Caenorhabditis elegans: one gene and its partners. The protein of the gene in region 1 interacts with the protein of each later gene in a pairwise test. Each region holds a gene or a part of one and is shown in the gene's direction. Other genes may lie near its edges. The genes, in order: F33D11.10, ZC434.8 and unc-116.

The links.
Region 2: the proteins of F33D11.10 (region 1) and ZC434.8 interact in a two-hybrid assay, tested with the Caenorhabditis elegans proteins (one large-scale study listed by BioGRID).
Region 3: the proteins of F33D11.10 (region 1) and unc-116 interact in a two-hybrid assay, tested with the Caenorhabditis elegans proteins (one large-scale study listed by BioGRID).

What each region holds. Positions count from the first base shown.
Region 1 is NC_003279.8:5,865,968-5,869,830, reverse strand, and holds F33D11.10 (RNA helicase), read left to right. Parts: upstream 1-1,691; 5' UTR 1,692-1,701; coding exon 1,702-2,037; intron 2,038-2,085; coding exon 2,086-2,757; intron 2,758-2,876; coding exon 2,877-3,068; 3' UTR 3,069-3,269; downstream 3,270-3,863. Other genes in the region: vpr-1 (Major sperm protein), read left to right, coding at 1-58, 217-502, 594-741, 828-956.
Region 2 is NC_003279.8:10,347,499-10,351,201, reverse strand, and holds ZC434.8 (putative arginine kinase ZC434.8), read left to right. Parts: upstream 1-1,832; 5' UTR 1,833-1,882; coding exon 1,883-1,921; intron 1,922-1,970; coding exon 1,971-2,258; intron 2,259-2,303; coding exon 2,304-2,906; intron 2,907-2,950; coding exon 2,951-3,103; 3' UTR 3,104-3,147; downstream 3,148-3,703. Other genes in the region: coa-6 (PRORP domain-containing protein), read right to left, coding at 3,248-3,563, 3,625-3,703.
Region 3 is NC_003281.10:8,350,550-8,357,099, reverse strand, and holds unc-116 (Kinesin heavy chain), read left to right. Parts: upstream 1-1,925; 5' UTR 1,926-2,004; coding exon 2,005-2,043; intron 2,044-2,090; coding exon 2,091-2,186; intron 2,187-2,359; coding exon 2,360-2,521; intron 2,522-2,754; coding exon 2,755-3,052; intron 3,053-3,100; coding exon 3,101-3,330; intron 3,331-3,377; coding exon 3,378-4,703; intron 4,704-4,753; coding exon 4,754-5,045; intron 5,046-5,288; coding exon 5,289-5,293; 3' UTR 5,294-5,936; downstream 5,937-6,550. Other genes in the region: Putative RNA-binding protein R05D3.8, read left to right, coding at 1-113; R05D3.6 (Putative ATP synthase subunit epsilon, mitochondrial), read left to right, coding at 6,295-6,375. UniProt on the Caenorhabditis elegans protein: Microtubule-dependent motor protein required for organelle transport. Plays a role in endosome transport. Required for the transport of mitochondria along the axon of motor neurons. Involved in the nuclear migration of hyp7 hypodermal precursor cells.

The sequences.
Region 1 (3,863 bases):
GTGTGCTTCAAAGTGAAAACAACGGCTCCAAAGCAATATTGTGTTCGTCCAAATTCTGGTGAGTGATGGATTTATTTGCATTGAAATCAATTTGATATGGAAAAAGTGAAATTAAACGCAAAAAGAAAAATATGATTTGTATTTAGACCTTATCTGTTAGACTGGTTGATTTTTAAAACTGAAGTTTACTTTGACCTTCTGATTTTGATTTTTTAGGCCTCCTGAAATCTGGTGACTCGAAACAAATCACAGTAATGCTTCAACCTCTGGAAGGAATTCCATCTGATGCAGGACGACATAAGTTTATGGTTCAATCGTGTGTGGCGCCTTCGGAAGATCTGCCAGATTTGGAATCGGTCTGGAAAATAATCGATCCAGCGGAGCTGACCTACAGCAAGCTTATGGTCACCTTCGTTGACAAGAGAGATCCAGCGTCTGGAGATGATACAAAAACCTTTGCGGTTAGGAACGAGGATAGTTTTGCTTCTTCTGGACAGGCACAGTGAGTTTTTACTTATAATGGAGGTTAAAAGAAGGTTAACAATTATTGTTTCCTTCATAAACTTCATTCAATAAAAAACTAATATTTGCAGAGAGCTCGGAAGTTCGTACTCTGGAACACCATCGCATGATGGAACCGTTAACTCCCTTCGCAAATCGTTGAAATCGACAGTTGACGAGAAAGAAGAATTGCAAAAGAAAGTACATGGATTGGAACAAGAAATCGAAGTCATGCTCAAGGTAATATCAGAAAAGAAATTTGAAAAAATTAATTACACTTTGGAAAAAAAAATATGTGTTCAATTTTCTACAAAAAATATTTTCAGAAGAACCGCAAGCTTCAACAATCGCATTCTGATGGAGCTCTTGTCGACGGTGCATACCCAACATTGCAAATTTTCCTTATTGCGGTTGCCGCTTTGCTCATCGGGCTTATTGTTGGCCGTCTTTTCTAAATTCTGAATCAATTCTTCCTTCATTTTCACTTTTAAGTAACTAGTGGTACTATCATTCACGTGCTTTTTTGCTGCCACAAACATTAAAACACACAAGCATTGCTCCATTCGGATTTTCATCAAATTTAACCTTCAAATCCTAAATTTTCTAACTTTTTCTCTGCCAAGGGCGAAATTCTGAATATTTCAAAAATCAAAATGTTATTTTCTGCAATGTAAATTGACATATTTAACTTTTCGGTTTTTTGAAATTTTGAATACTTGCCTCTTTAGTGAACGCAGCGCGCAAAAATTTCAAACTTTTTCTCAAACTACTTTCACTTCTTTCCTTTGTTTATTCGTTTTCCGTTTTTCCCGGCGTCTTCTAGACCATCATAGATCCGTCTAGTGACTGCCTATCATCATACCCGGTAGCCATTATCAAGAATTTTATTTATTTATTTTCCATTCTATGGTTCCCCGTTCCCCCAACCTTTTCTCATTTATTTTATGTGTACAACCATTGATTGATATAGGACTCCATGGATTTTAAGAAAGCCCCATGCTCTTTGAAACAACCAATTTAAGTCACATGATTTGTATATGGTACAATAAAATTTGATGTTTATGGTTTCCAATAACTATTTTTATTTTTGAATTTTTTCGCCGTATTATCTCGGAGTATTTACCTGGAAATTTACGCGACTCGACAATAAAATGTCACTCGAGTGATGTTTAAAATTAATCTTTTTTCAGATTTTCCAAAATGGCTGGTAAAAAAGCAGAAAAAGATGATATGGCAACAGTGGAATTCGAATCTTCTGAAGAAGTAAATGTTATTCCAACATTTGACAAAATGGGTTTGCGAGAAGACCTTCTTCGTGGAATTTATGCCTATGGATTCGAAAAACCATCGGCTATTCAACAAAGAGCAGTTCCAGCAATTCTTAAAGCACGTGACGTCATTGCTCAAGCTCAATCTGGAACCGGAAAGACTGCGACTTTTTCAATTTCCGTTCTTCAATCATTGGATACACAAGTTCGAGAGACACAAGCACTTATTCTTTCTCCAACCAGAGAATTGGCTGTCCAGATTCAAAAAGTATGGATATAATAAATACAGAGTTGCAATAAAAAACACATTTTGCAGGTAGTTCTTGCTCTCGGAGACTATATGAATGTTCAATGTCATGCCTGTATCGGAGGAACAAATCTCGGAGAAGACATTCGCAAATTGGATTACGGTCAACACGTGGTTTCTGGTACTCCAGGACGAGTATTTGATATGATTCGCCGTCGTAATCTTCGTACCCGAGCGATCAAGCTTCTGGTTCTTGACGAAGCCGATGAAATGCTGAATAAAGGTTTCAAGGAGCAGTTGTACGATATCTACCGATATCTTCCACCTGGAGCACAAGTCGTACTTCTGTCAGCCACACTGCCTCATGAAATTCTAGAGATGACCAGTAAATTCATGACAGATCCTATCAGAATTCTTGTGAAACGTGATGAACTGACACTTGAAGGAATCAAGCAATTCTTCGTTGCAGTTGACAGAGAAGAATGGAAGTTCGACACTCTTATTGATCTTTATGATACTCTTACCATCACACAGGCTGTACTATTCTGTAATACCCGTAGAAAGGTTGATTGGTTGACGGATAAAATGAAGGAAGCCAACTTCACAGTGTCATCAATGCACGGAGATATGGAACAGAAGGATCGTGATGAAGTTATGAAAGAGTTCAGAGCAGGAACAACGAGAGTGCTCATTTCAACTGATGTTTGGGCGAGAGGATTAGATGTTCCACAAGTCTCGTTGGTAAGATTTTTTTTTAGTTTCTTCTCGATTTGTAATAAATTAAAATGATTAGTTTTGCAAAAAACCAGCAAAAAAAAGTTGTCATGAAATATAGACAATTCAGTAAAAACTTTTTTCAGGTTATCAACTATGATCTTCCAAACAATCGTGAATTATACATTCATCGTATTGGTCGTTCTGGACGTTTCGGACGCAAGGGAGTCGCCATCAACTTTGTGAAGCAAGATGATGTCAGAATTCTGCGAGACATTGAGCAATACTATTCGACACAAATCGACGAAATGCCCATGAATATTGCGGATATCATTTGAAGAAAGATATATTTTCGCTCACCTCATGTTTTAATTTATTTTGTTTTTGTTTTCTTTGTTTTGAAAATCCTTATCAATTATTTCTTTTATTTTAATCCTACAAAGATCTCCTTTGAATCCTTCATGATACTAAGACCCAAATACTATCCAACGGAGATTTTTAAAAATCTGAACAGTAATTTGAATAAATGGAGATCTTAATTTTCTTTTCAATATTTTTATGTAAGCCAGTAGAAACTTCTCTAATATTCAAAAATATCGGAAAATAACCAATTTCTAATTTTCGGCGTGATATTCACGTGAATTTATACTAACAAAAAAAACATTTCAGAAAAAAATCAACTCTACGAAGGCTTCACGTGGAATATCATTGCATTGTGGGTTTTTAAATATTAAATTTTTCTTTTATTATTTTATGTTTGATTTTTAGGAAGTTTCAGCCTCTTTAAATTGAGAATTACTTACTCAGAGACCACTCGCTTTTTGAACACACGATTGGTATTCTAAATTCCTATCTGAAACGGAAATTTTTGAATTCAGACGATGCATCATTTTCCTCTATCTTAGACACAAAAACTCAAATACAACAACCCGCCGTCTCGTAGCTTTTGCCTTTCTCGTCAACTAAAAACCGAACGCACTCGTCTTGTCTCCCACTCTATCGTCATCAAAACGGAGTAAGAAAAGTAACAAGAGACTGTGTTGAACAATGAGACTCAGACGGTCAGACAAGACATTCGCCGTGCTCTCGCCTTCAGTCCACTTGTTCAACACTGACCAGCGCCTTTCCTTCAA
Region 2 (3,703 bases), 4.5 Mb from region 1:
TTTTTCGTTTTCCCGCGTGTGTTGGCAAACTGGATCTGATAGATGCCGCCTGATGACGACTATGAGTGGAAAATGAGGGACAAAAAGATAAGAAAGGGAAAGAATACGGATAACGGAAAAATGGGAGACTGGAAAAAAGGAGAAGTTATTGGGTTAAGGAGAAGGATAGTATCCTAAAGAAGAGAAAGTCCGGGGAAATGATGGAAGAAATTGTGAATGTGTGAAATGATAAGAAAAAGTGACAGGTTTCAACCGTTCCAAACACTTTTCTATAGTCTTCTGGAAGAACTGGATTACGGTAAGTTACGTAATTTGAACATTAAGCAGTGTTTCTAGAGGAAAGTAGGCTATTTTAAACTCATGGAAAGGGCTTTTCAAAATACAAAAGCCAGGGCTAGAAAAATTTTTAAATACGCGCGCAAAATAAATTTCTACCAATAAACGTTTTTAGCGCGTCGCTGATTGGTTGGCACCCTTCTCCATTAAACAATTTAATTCTGAAACCGTTTGTAGTTAATATTAGACACATGAAGATAAGTTGCTATGAAGATAAACCCCGGACCACTTTGAATATTCCAAAACATAAGAATGTGTGAGAAAACTCTCTTGATTGCCCACGGGGCATTTCGTTTAGTGGGTGTGGTTCCCTTGTTTCTTCTAAATAATTTATGCAGTCCTTTATAATGTTTTCCTTTGAAAAAACTTTCATACATCATTTCCCAATTGGGCAATTCTCGGAAATCTCGCAACTGAAAAAACCAAATAGAAGAATAAAGTGCTAGATTTTAATCTGAAGAAACAGATTACGTAGGATGGCTTGGTAAAGAAGGTGTGGGAATAAAAATTGATTGGAAGAAAATATTGTTTTAAAAATAGTTTGAAAATTCAAGATAATAAAAAGAAACGCACCTATACCAAAAAGCTTTTGACAAAATTCAAGATGTGGGCGGGTCTAATTTTGGAACGTCACGGATTAGACATTTGGGGATATTTTTTATATAAACTTTGAAAAGTTGCTGTGTAATTTTTTAATTTATGAAAAACACATAAGTATACCAACAAAAAATCTGAAGTAGCCCTATCCAGCGCCAGTGCCAGTGGGAAAATTTCTGTAATACACGCATATGGTACTACAATTGTAGTACCATTGTATACAATGACCGAGTATTTTTTTTTTAATTCAACAATTTTTTCTTAATTGCATATGATCTATTAAAAATTGATCTCAGAAAAATATCAGTTTTTGACAATTAAATTGAACCTGCCGCCAAACTGTTTGTTCGATAGAGCGCGCTTGCATTATTTTCATTTCATCATTTATTTACTTTTTCTCTCATTATTTCTTTGAATTTTTCATTTTTTGTATATTCTTTTCTGAAAATAAAAGAAAAAAGCAGGTTAAATGCAAATTGATCATTAAAAGTTAACTGAAAACGCGTGCAAGTGTAAAATTATACGTTCCGGTGACGACGAATCTGAAAGTAGTTTGTTTTACAGTTTACCGTTTTTTTTATTGAAAATTGCATTTAACTTGTTTTTTTTTCTTTTTTCTTCCGAACATTTAATTAAGAAAAAACTGAGATTTTATCGACTTTCAAAAAATTGTATCATAGGCGTGCTTTAAACCAATTTCCCCACTGGCGCTATAGCGGGCTATACCCCAAAAATATGTTTAATTATGAATACGTGAAGTTTTTTTTTAAGAACTCCGATGTAATTTGAACTTTCAAAATACATTTTCACTGTATTATATAGAATGTCACGGTCCCACGTTCTGCCACATTATCGTCTGTATAAAAGGGCTTCGTTTCCAAAAATCATCAGTCTAACAGCTTCAGCTCTTCAAAGAACGAACCGCCTGTTACACGTTTCATCATCGAATATGACAGCGACCCCGGAAGTTCAGAAATCGATTGAAGAAGTGAGTTTTCTTAAGTTTTCAAGTTCTTAACGTTTGTTTTTGTTTCCAGGTCTACACGAAACTCCAAGGAGCTTCTGACTGCTCGTCACTTCTCAAGAAGCACTTGACAAAGGACGTTGTCGCCAAGAACAAGTCGAAGAAGACCCGTCTCGGAGCAACTCTTTTGGATGTCATTCAGTCGGGCGGAGAGAACCTCGATTCGGGAGTCGGAATCTATGCTCCAGACGCGGAGAGCTACACCTTGTTCGCGGATCTTTTCAATCCTGTGATCGAAGAGTACCACAATGGATTCAAGGCAACCGACACTCAACCAGCAATGGATTTGGGAGAGAAAAATGTAATTACTTTTTAATTGTTTTTAATTCTATTTTGTACATTTTAGGTTGGAGAACTTGCCGATCTCGACCCAGAGGGCAAATTCATTGTGTCGACACGTATCCGCTGCGGACGTTCTCTGCAAGGATACCCATTCAATCCATGTCTCTCTGAGACCAACTACAAGATGATGGAAACCCGTATGAAGGAGATCTTCAACAGCATCACCGATCCCGAGCTCAAGGGAACGTACTACCCTCTGACTGGAATGGATGAGGAGACGAAGAAGAAGCTCATTGCTGATCACTTCCTCTTCAAAGAAGGTGATCGCTTCTTGAAGGCTGCCAATGCCAACCGTTATTGGCCAAACGGACGTGGAATCTTCCACAATGAGAAGAAGACTTTCTTGGTTTGGGTCAACGAGGAGGATCACTTGCGTATCATCTCTATGCAAAATGGAGGAAATGTTGGTGAAGTTCTCGCCAGACTCATCAAAGGACTGAACCTCGTCGCTGCCAAGGCTCCATTCGCTCGTCATCCACGTCTCGGATGGCTCACCTTCTGTCCAACCAACTTGGGAACAACTGTTCGTGCATCGGTTCACATTAAGCTGCCAAAGATCTCGGCAAAGGACGATTTCAAGAAGATTTGCAGTGACATGAAGCTTCAGGTATTTTTAAAGTTTTATTTCAGTTTTCAAATTATAATTTTCAGATTCGTGGAATTCATGGAGAACATTCGGAATCGAAGGAAGGAATCTATGACATCTCGAACAAGCAGCGTCTTGGGCTTACCGAGTATCAAGCAGTTCGTCAGATGTACGATGGATTGAAGAAGTTGATTGAATTGGAGAAGGCCGCCGCCTAAGAAGATCACTTTCAATTTCTGATTTGGAATAAATTTTAGTAGATAGTTTTATATTCTTTTCAAAGTCAAAAAAAATTAAATCGAGGATCATGAATAGTGTGTTTATTACATGACAAAAACAATACACAATTAGAAACACGTATATCAACTATTTCTAAAAACTTCAACTTTATAACGTTTAATGTTTCTCGACAGCTTTCCTTCTGAGTTCATAACGGGCAGTATCCATATTCTATTATCCGGATTACGAATTCGAATATTGAAATTCCGTCTCGTCTCGATTCGGCCATGGAAGTGTCGATGTGATGCATCAGTGAGAAAATCGTCGAAAATTTTCTCCAACTTTTGATCACCATTACAGATTGCTGAACGATGATCAGTATATTTATCATTTGTAACAATTGACGTCTCCGGACCGAATTCTAGAGCCATTCGAATTATTATGAGGTCATCTGTGGACCTGAAAAAATTGATTTTCAAAAATGGAACTAAAACCAAAAGCCAGATCTTTGAAAACTCACAATTTATCACAAAACAGAGCATTTCCATTATATCTTTCCATCACTTCTTTCCGTAGTTTTTGGTTTGATATCCGTCTAG
Region 3 (6,550 bases), on another chromosome or scaffold:
CTTCATCAAATCACTATGATCCATCTGCAGCAGCAGGATATGCACCACTATATCATCAACCACCAGAATCAGATCCATTGTCTCAATGTGGCTATGGACCGAGAAAATGGTAGCTGTGATGATCAAACAAAACTCATATATCTCAAATTACGGTTTCACTTAATTCGAAGTTTACGAACATTGATTTTAAAAAATAAAATTGATTTATCTTCGAAGTTTCATTCTCTCGTAACTTCCTTTATTCTCTACTAGTGAGCGCAGTGAGCGAATGTTCTGTGAGTGTTTGAAGAGGCCGTCCGTTGTCCCTCTGACCGAGAATAAAACATTATACAAAATGAAGAGAACACAGGGAACCACGGATGTATCTCTGTGTCTCTTCACGATGCCAATACATTCCTTGTATCCCTTCGAATTTCTTTCTCCAACTCTTTCTACCACCCAATACTAAAGTCTTCCCTCGTCTCTTTTCCCGCCAAACGAATGAATGTTGTGAGTGTGTCTCTCCTCTCGTTTCACTCTTTTTCAATGAAGCTTTTGCACCGACCATCCTCTAGGTCCCACCACGAAAATCTACTGAACACAATACTCCCACCTGCAGTGTCTTTTCTCTCTTATCGTTCTTTTTCGCATCCGAATCGGTCTCCCCCGCCTTCCTTCACCATCTGCCGTATCGTGTCGTATTGGCCATTACTCATTGTCAATTTGATGACCATATTTGGTTTGAGTCTCCTTATTTGCCCTCGGATATCCTCATCTTGTTTAGTTTGTGTATTTATCTATGAAATTTATTTAAAACCGCATTTATCCATATGTTATTGCATAATATTGAAGCTAATATTCATTCCGAAAAGTTAAGAGACAAGTATCGTGGAGAAATGTTAGTTTTTGGATTTGCGATTTCAGTTTCACTTTGTCTTTCTTGTCACTCAGTAAACCCGTTCAGAATATACCCAGATTTAAACCAAATTAAAACCGTACAAGCCTATATTATGAAAAATTCTAATTTTGGGCAGATGTAAACCAAGATTGTCTAGATCCAAACTTAATTTGCATAGATTGCAAGTTTGAGTAGATGTAAACTGAATTTGTGTAGGTTTGTGTATTTCCAAATCGATTTTGTGTAGATCCAAACCAAATTTGTGCAGATAAATTCACAATATAGGCTTGTACGGTTTTAATTTGGTTTAAATCTGGGTATATTATGAACGGGTTTACTGAGCACTGCTGGATGGTGTTAATTTTATAGTATAAAATTTTGAAAATGTACGAGATTTTGCAAGTTGTTTTTAATTTTTAATTCTCGCGCATATACATAAAATGTCAAATATAAATAAGTAATTAAATAAGCATTGCTGAAAAAAAAAAGAAAACTGAAATTAAAAATTAATCTGACCGAAAATACGATAGGCAAACGTACGTAATTCGAAAAACCCAAGATTTCACGACAAATTGCCAACTAAAACATTTTTCCGCGCGGGAAAAACTTTTATTGTTTCCAGAAGTTTCCTGTTGTTTTGAAGCTATTATTTCAATTATAAAACATTTTCCGAACTCATTTTTCGAACAATTTAACCAAAAATGCATAAATTTGTGAAATTTGTGTGTGCCACGTTTGATCGACGCCAGTCTTTTTCTATTTCTCTATTTTCTGTGTGAAAATTTTGAATATTCAGTACAAACGTTGCAGTTTTTGTTATTTTGTTATCATTCCGTTGTCTATCCATAATCTATGAGCCTTTAGTTTATTTTTTGTCAAAGCCGCCCAATCAAACAAAACTCGCAGCTTCTGTGCATCGCGCACGAGACGAGTGATGAAATATTCCGAAATTTCGCAATGTTTTGCCGTTTCCTCCTTTCTCTATTTCTCTTGCATCTCGTCATCTTTTCTTGTTCTCTACTCAGCATATTGATTATACTTATTGCAGGCATTGTAAGGAGAAGCCGGGTAATTAATACGATAGGCGCCGTTACAAACCGCCAACTGGTGATCATTATTCTCTGAAAATGGAGCCGCGGACAGACGGAGCAGAATGCGGTGTCCAGGTATTAATTTTCCCCGCCTAGATTTTCCAATTTCATATTGTTTTCAGGTATTTTGTCGTATTCGGCCGCTCAATAAGACCGAGGAGAAGAATGCGGACCGTTTCCTGCCCAAATTCCCTTCCGAGGACAGTATATCGCTTGGGGTGAGTAATACAAAGGGGTCATAGGGAACAATTATGTCAACAGGGACGGGAAGCACGGGGGATGCAGGTGTGTCAATTCTCTCACATGACACATTCATCTGTTTGAAAAGTACACGAAAAGTGCAAAGTTGAATATATATATATATATCGATTGATTTGTTGGAATTTTTCAGGGAAAAGTATACGTGTTCGATAAAGTGTTCAAGCCGAACACCACGCAAGAGCAAGTGTACAAAGGAGCCGCTTATCACATCGTACAGGATGTATTATCCGGTTATAATGGAACAGTTTTTGCATATGGACAAACATCTTCCGGAAAAACACATACAATGGAGGTAGGAATTATGAAAACCTTGATAATTACGTAGAATGCGACAAAGACAATCAAGTTGTAATATCAACAGTGCAAATCTTTACTGATTAATGAAAAGAAAAGTTTGAGAACTAATTTTCAGCAGTTATTTCCGAAATCGAATGCCCGAAAGATTTTTGATAATTTTTACGTTTAAAATATTCGGCGCTCGATGAAATTAACAATATAATTTAATTATTTTCATATTTTTTACAGGGAGTAATCGGTGATAATGGCTTGTCGGGAATCATTCCACGTATCGTTGCTGACATCTTTAACCACATTTATAGTATGGACGAGAATCTTCAATTTCACATCAAAGTGTCCTATTATGAAATTTACAACGAGAAGATTCGAGATTTATTAGACCCCGAGAAGGTCAATTTGTCCATTCATGAAGATAAAAATCGAGTGCCATACGTGAAGGGAGCCACCGAACGGTTTGTTGGAGGACCCGATGAGGTTCTTCAGGCAATCGAAGATGGAAAATCCAACAGAATGGTTGCAGTTACGAGTGAGTAAACTTAAAATTAAACAAATTAACATGTGAACGAAATTTCAGACATGAACGAACATTCTTCTCGATCTCATTCCGTCTTCTTGATTACTGTGAAACAAGAACATCAGACAACAAAGAAACAGCTCACCGGAAAGCTTTATCTTGTTGATTTGGCTGGTTCTGAGAAAGTGAGCAAAACTGGAGCTCAAGGAACAGTTTTAGAAGAAGCCAAAAACATCAACAAGTCACTTACTGCACTCGGAATAGTTATTTCAGCATTGGCTGAAGGAACTGTGAGTTGTTTAAATTATGACCTTCTTAAAACGAATATTTATTTCAGAAATCTCATGTTCCATATCGTGATTCCAAACTGACTCGTATTCTTCAAGAATCTCTAGGAGGAAATTCCCGTACTACAGTTATTATTTGTGCTTCTCCGTCACATTTCAACGAAGCTGAAACTAAATCCACACTTTTGTTCGGAGCACGTGCGAAGACTATCAAGAATGTTGTACAAATCAACGAAGAGCTCACAGCAGAAGAATGGAAACGGCGATATGAGAAAGAAAAAGAGAAGAATACTCGATTGGCCGCCCTTCTCCAGGCAGCGGCTTTGGAACTTTCACGCTGGCGTGCTGGAGAATCAGTGTCTGAGGTTGAATGGGTCAATCTATCAGATTCTGCTCAAATGGCTGTGTCGGAAGTTTCTGGTGGGTCGACTCCACTCATGGAACGTTCGATTGCTCCAGCTCCTCCAATGCTAACTTCTACAACTGGCCCGATCACTGACGAAGAGAAGAAGAAGTACGAAGAGGAACGTGTCAAACTGTATCAGCAACTCGACGAGAAAGATGATGAGATTCAAAAAGTTTCGCAAGAGCTTGAGAAGCTTAGACAACAAGTTCTTCTCCAAGAAGAAGCTTTGGGAACTATGCGTGAAAACGAGGAGCTGATCCGTGAAGAGAACAACCGATTCCAAAAAGAAGCTGAAGACAAGCAGCAAGAAGGAAAGGAAATGATGACAGCTCTGGAAGAGATTGCTGTCAACTTGGATGTTCGACAAGCAGAATGCGAAAAATTGAAGAGAGAGTTGGAAGTTGTTCAAGAAGATAACCAGAGTTTGGAAGATCGAATGAACCAAGCAACATCACTCCTCAATGCTCATCTTGACGAATGTGGTCCAAAAATCCGTCATTTCAAAGAAGGAATCTACAATGTTATTCGTGAATTCAACATTGCTGACATTGCCTCTCAAAATGATCAACTTCCTGATCACGATCTTCTGAACCATGTCAGAATCGGAGTTTCAAAACTCTTCTCAGAATACTCTGCTGCGAAAGAGAGCAGTACAGCTGCCGAGCATGATGCTGAAGCGAAACTTGCAGCTGATGTTGCTCGTGTTGAATCTGGTCAAGACGCGGGTAGAATGAAACAATTGCTGGTGAAGGATCAGGCGGCAAAGGAGATCAAGCCACTAACAGATCGTGTCAATATGGAGCTTACAACGTTGAAGAATTTGAAAAAGGAGTTCATGAGAGTACTTGTTGCTCGATGCCAAGCCAATCAAGACACCGAGGGAGAAGATTCTCTCAGTGGACCAGCTCAAAAGCAACGAATTCAGTTCTTGGAGAACAATTTGGACAAGTTGACGAAGGTTCACAAGCAGGTTTGTCGTTTTTATTCTCATTTTGATTATCTTAAAACTTGAATTTTCAGCTTGTTCGCGACAATGCCGATTTGCGCGTTGAACTGCCAAAGATGGAAGCTCGTCTTCGTGGTCGTGAAGATCGCATCAAAATATTAGAAACTGCTCTTCGTGATTCGAAGCAACGTAGTCAAGCAGAACGAAAGAAGTATCAACAAGAAGTTGAACGAATCAAGGAAGCTGTTCGACAACGTAACATGCGACGAATGAATGCTCCACAAATTGTGAAGCCAATCCGTCCAGGACAAGTGTATACGTCTCCGTCAGCAGGAATGTCACAAGGAGCTCCAAATGGCTCAAACGGTGTGTTTAGTCAGACATCTACACCTTCAACATCTCGCAATCAGATACCATCAAAAATGACTATTTCACAGTTGATTGCAGAAATTTAAGATTTTTTTAAAAATTCTTTAGTGCTCATGTAATTTTTCACAAGTAATTATACTATGAATTAGAATTAGAGTGAGTGTTTCTTTTTCTTCCTACCGTATTATCAAATTTAACAGTCTTTTGTCCGTCCATTTTTCACTAATCAAAGTTTTTCAGCATAATGTCTCCCAACAACAACATCAACTCATCGTCTTCTTTGATCCAATCAATACACTGAAGACTGACATTCAAATGCTTCTCTATCTCTCTTCTTTTCCCGGCTTTGTGATATACTTTCGATGGGCTTTTCTGTTTATTTTAAAATCTAGTAACTTATACAATTACGCGGCTTCTGGAAGTTTCAACAAAAATATCTTCATTTGGTTGGTTGTGTCTCCCCATTTCGTTCCTTGGCTTCTCGTCTTCCATGTAGAATACAAAACTTCAAAAGCTAAAAGTATTTAAAGCTTCCCTCCACCCCCACCCAAATTGCCTTTTTCCGCCTTTTTGTTCTAATAGTCTGTTTCTATACGATTTTCCTGTTTCAGTTTTACTAATCTGACACGAGGTTTTGTCTGGTTCTTCCCCCCGTCACCCACCAACACTCCTATGATTGTTTTTTGCATGCGTTTGAGTGTCTTTAAAGCTTGCTTGCTAAATCCCCCTATCATTCTTCATAAGAAATCAACTTGTTTCGTTTCTGCACAATTCGGCCCCCAAATCCCCGCACATCCCAATTGCGTAATTCATTTTTTTGTATCTTTTGCTCTTCCAGTAAATAAAATTATTATTTTTTCTGTTATTAAATAAACGTTTTGCTGTTTTTTAAACAAGATTTTACAATAACATACGAGCAAGAATAACCAACAAACGCATGAGCTTAACTGATTAGTGTTCTGGAGTGAGAATATCATTGAAAACTATGAGAAATAAGTTTAATGTAATTAAATATTTATTGATAGTTTTGTTTCCATTTTGGACCAACTAATTATTATTCAGTAACTTTCGAATATTATCAAGTTTCCTGTTGAACTTTGACTGTATAAAGTTTTTATTTTTTATTTTACAGATTTCTCTAGTCTAAAGGTTGTTCTCCATACCTTTCAATTTACTTCCTTTTTCTGAAAATTTTATTATTTTATAGTATAAATTAAGGTTAAATAACTTTCCCCCAAAATCAAAAATGGTCGCCTGGAGAGCTGCTGGACTCAACTACGTCCGTTATTCACAAATCGCCGCACAAGTCGTTCGTCAGTGCACCAAGGTTTGTTGGACCCTTAAATAACAATATATGCCCCTTTAAGTGGTACAGTAACCCGTTCCGTTAATTTTCTGTTTATCATTTTTCAAGTTATAACCTATAGGTTTCAATTAAGTAATATGTTTCTGAAAATTACCGGTAATTAATTACTGGGCTCCTAAAGGTTCACACATTTTTG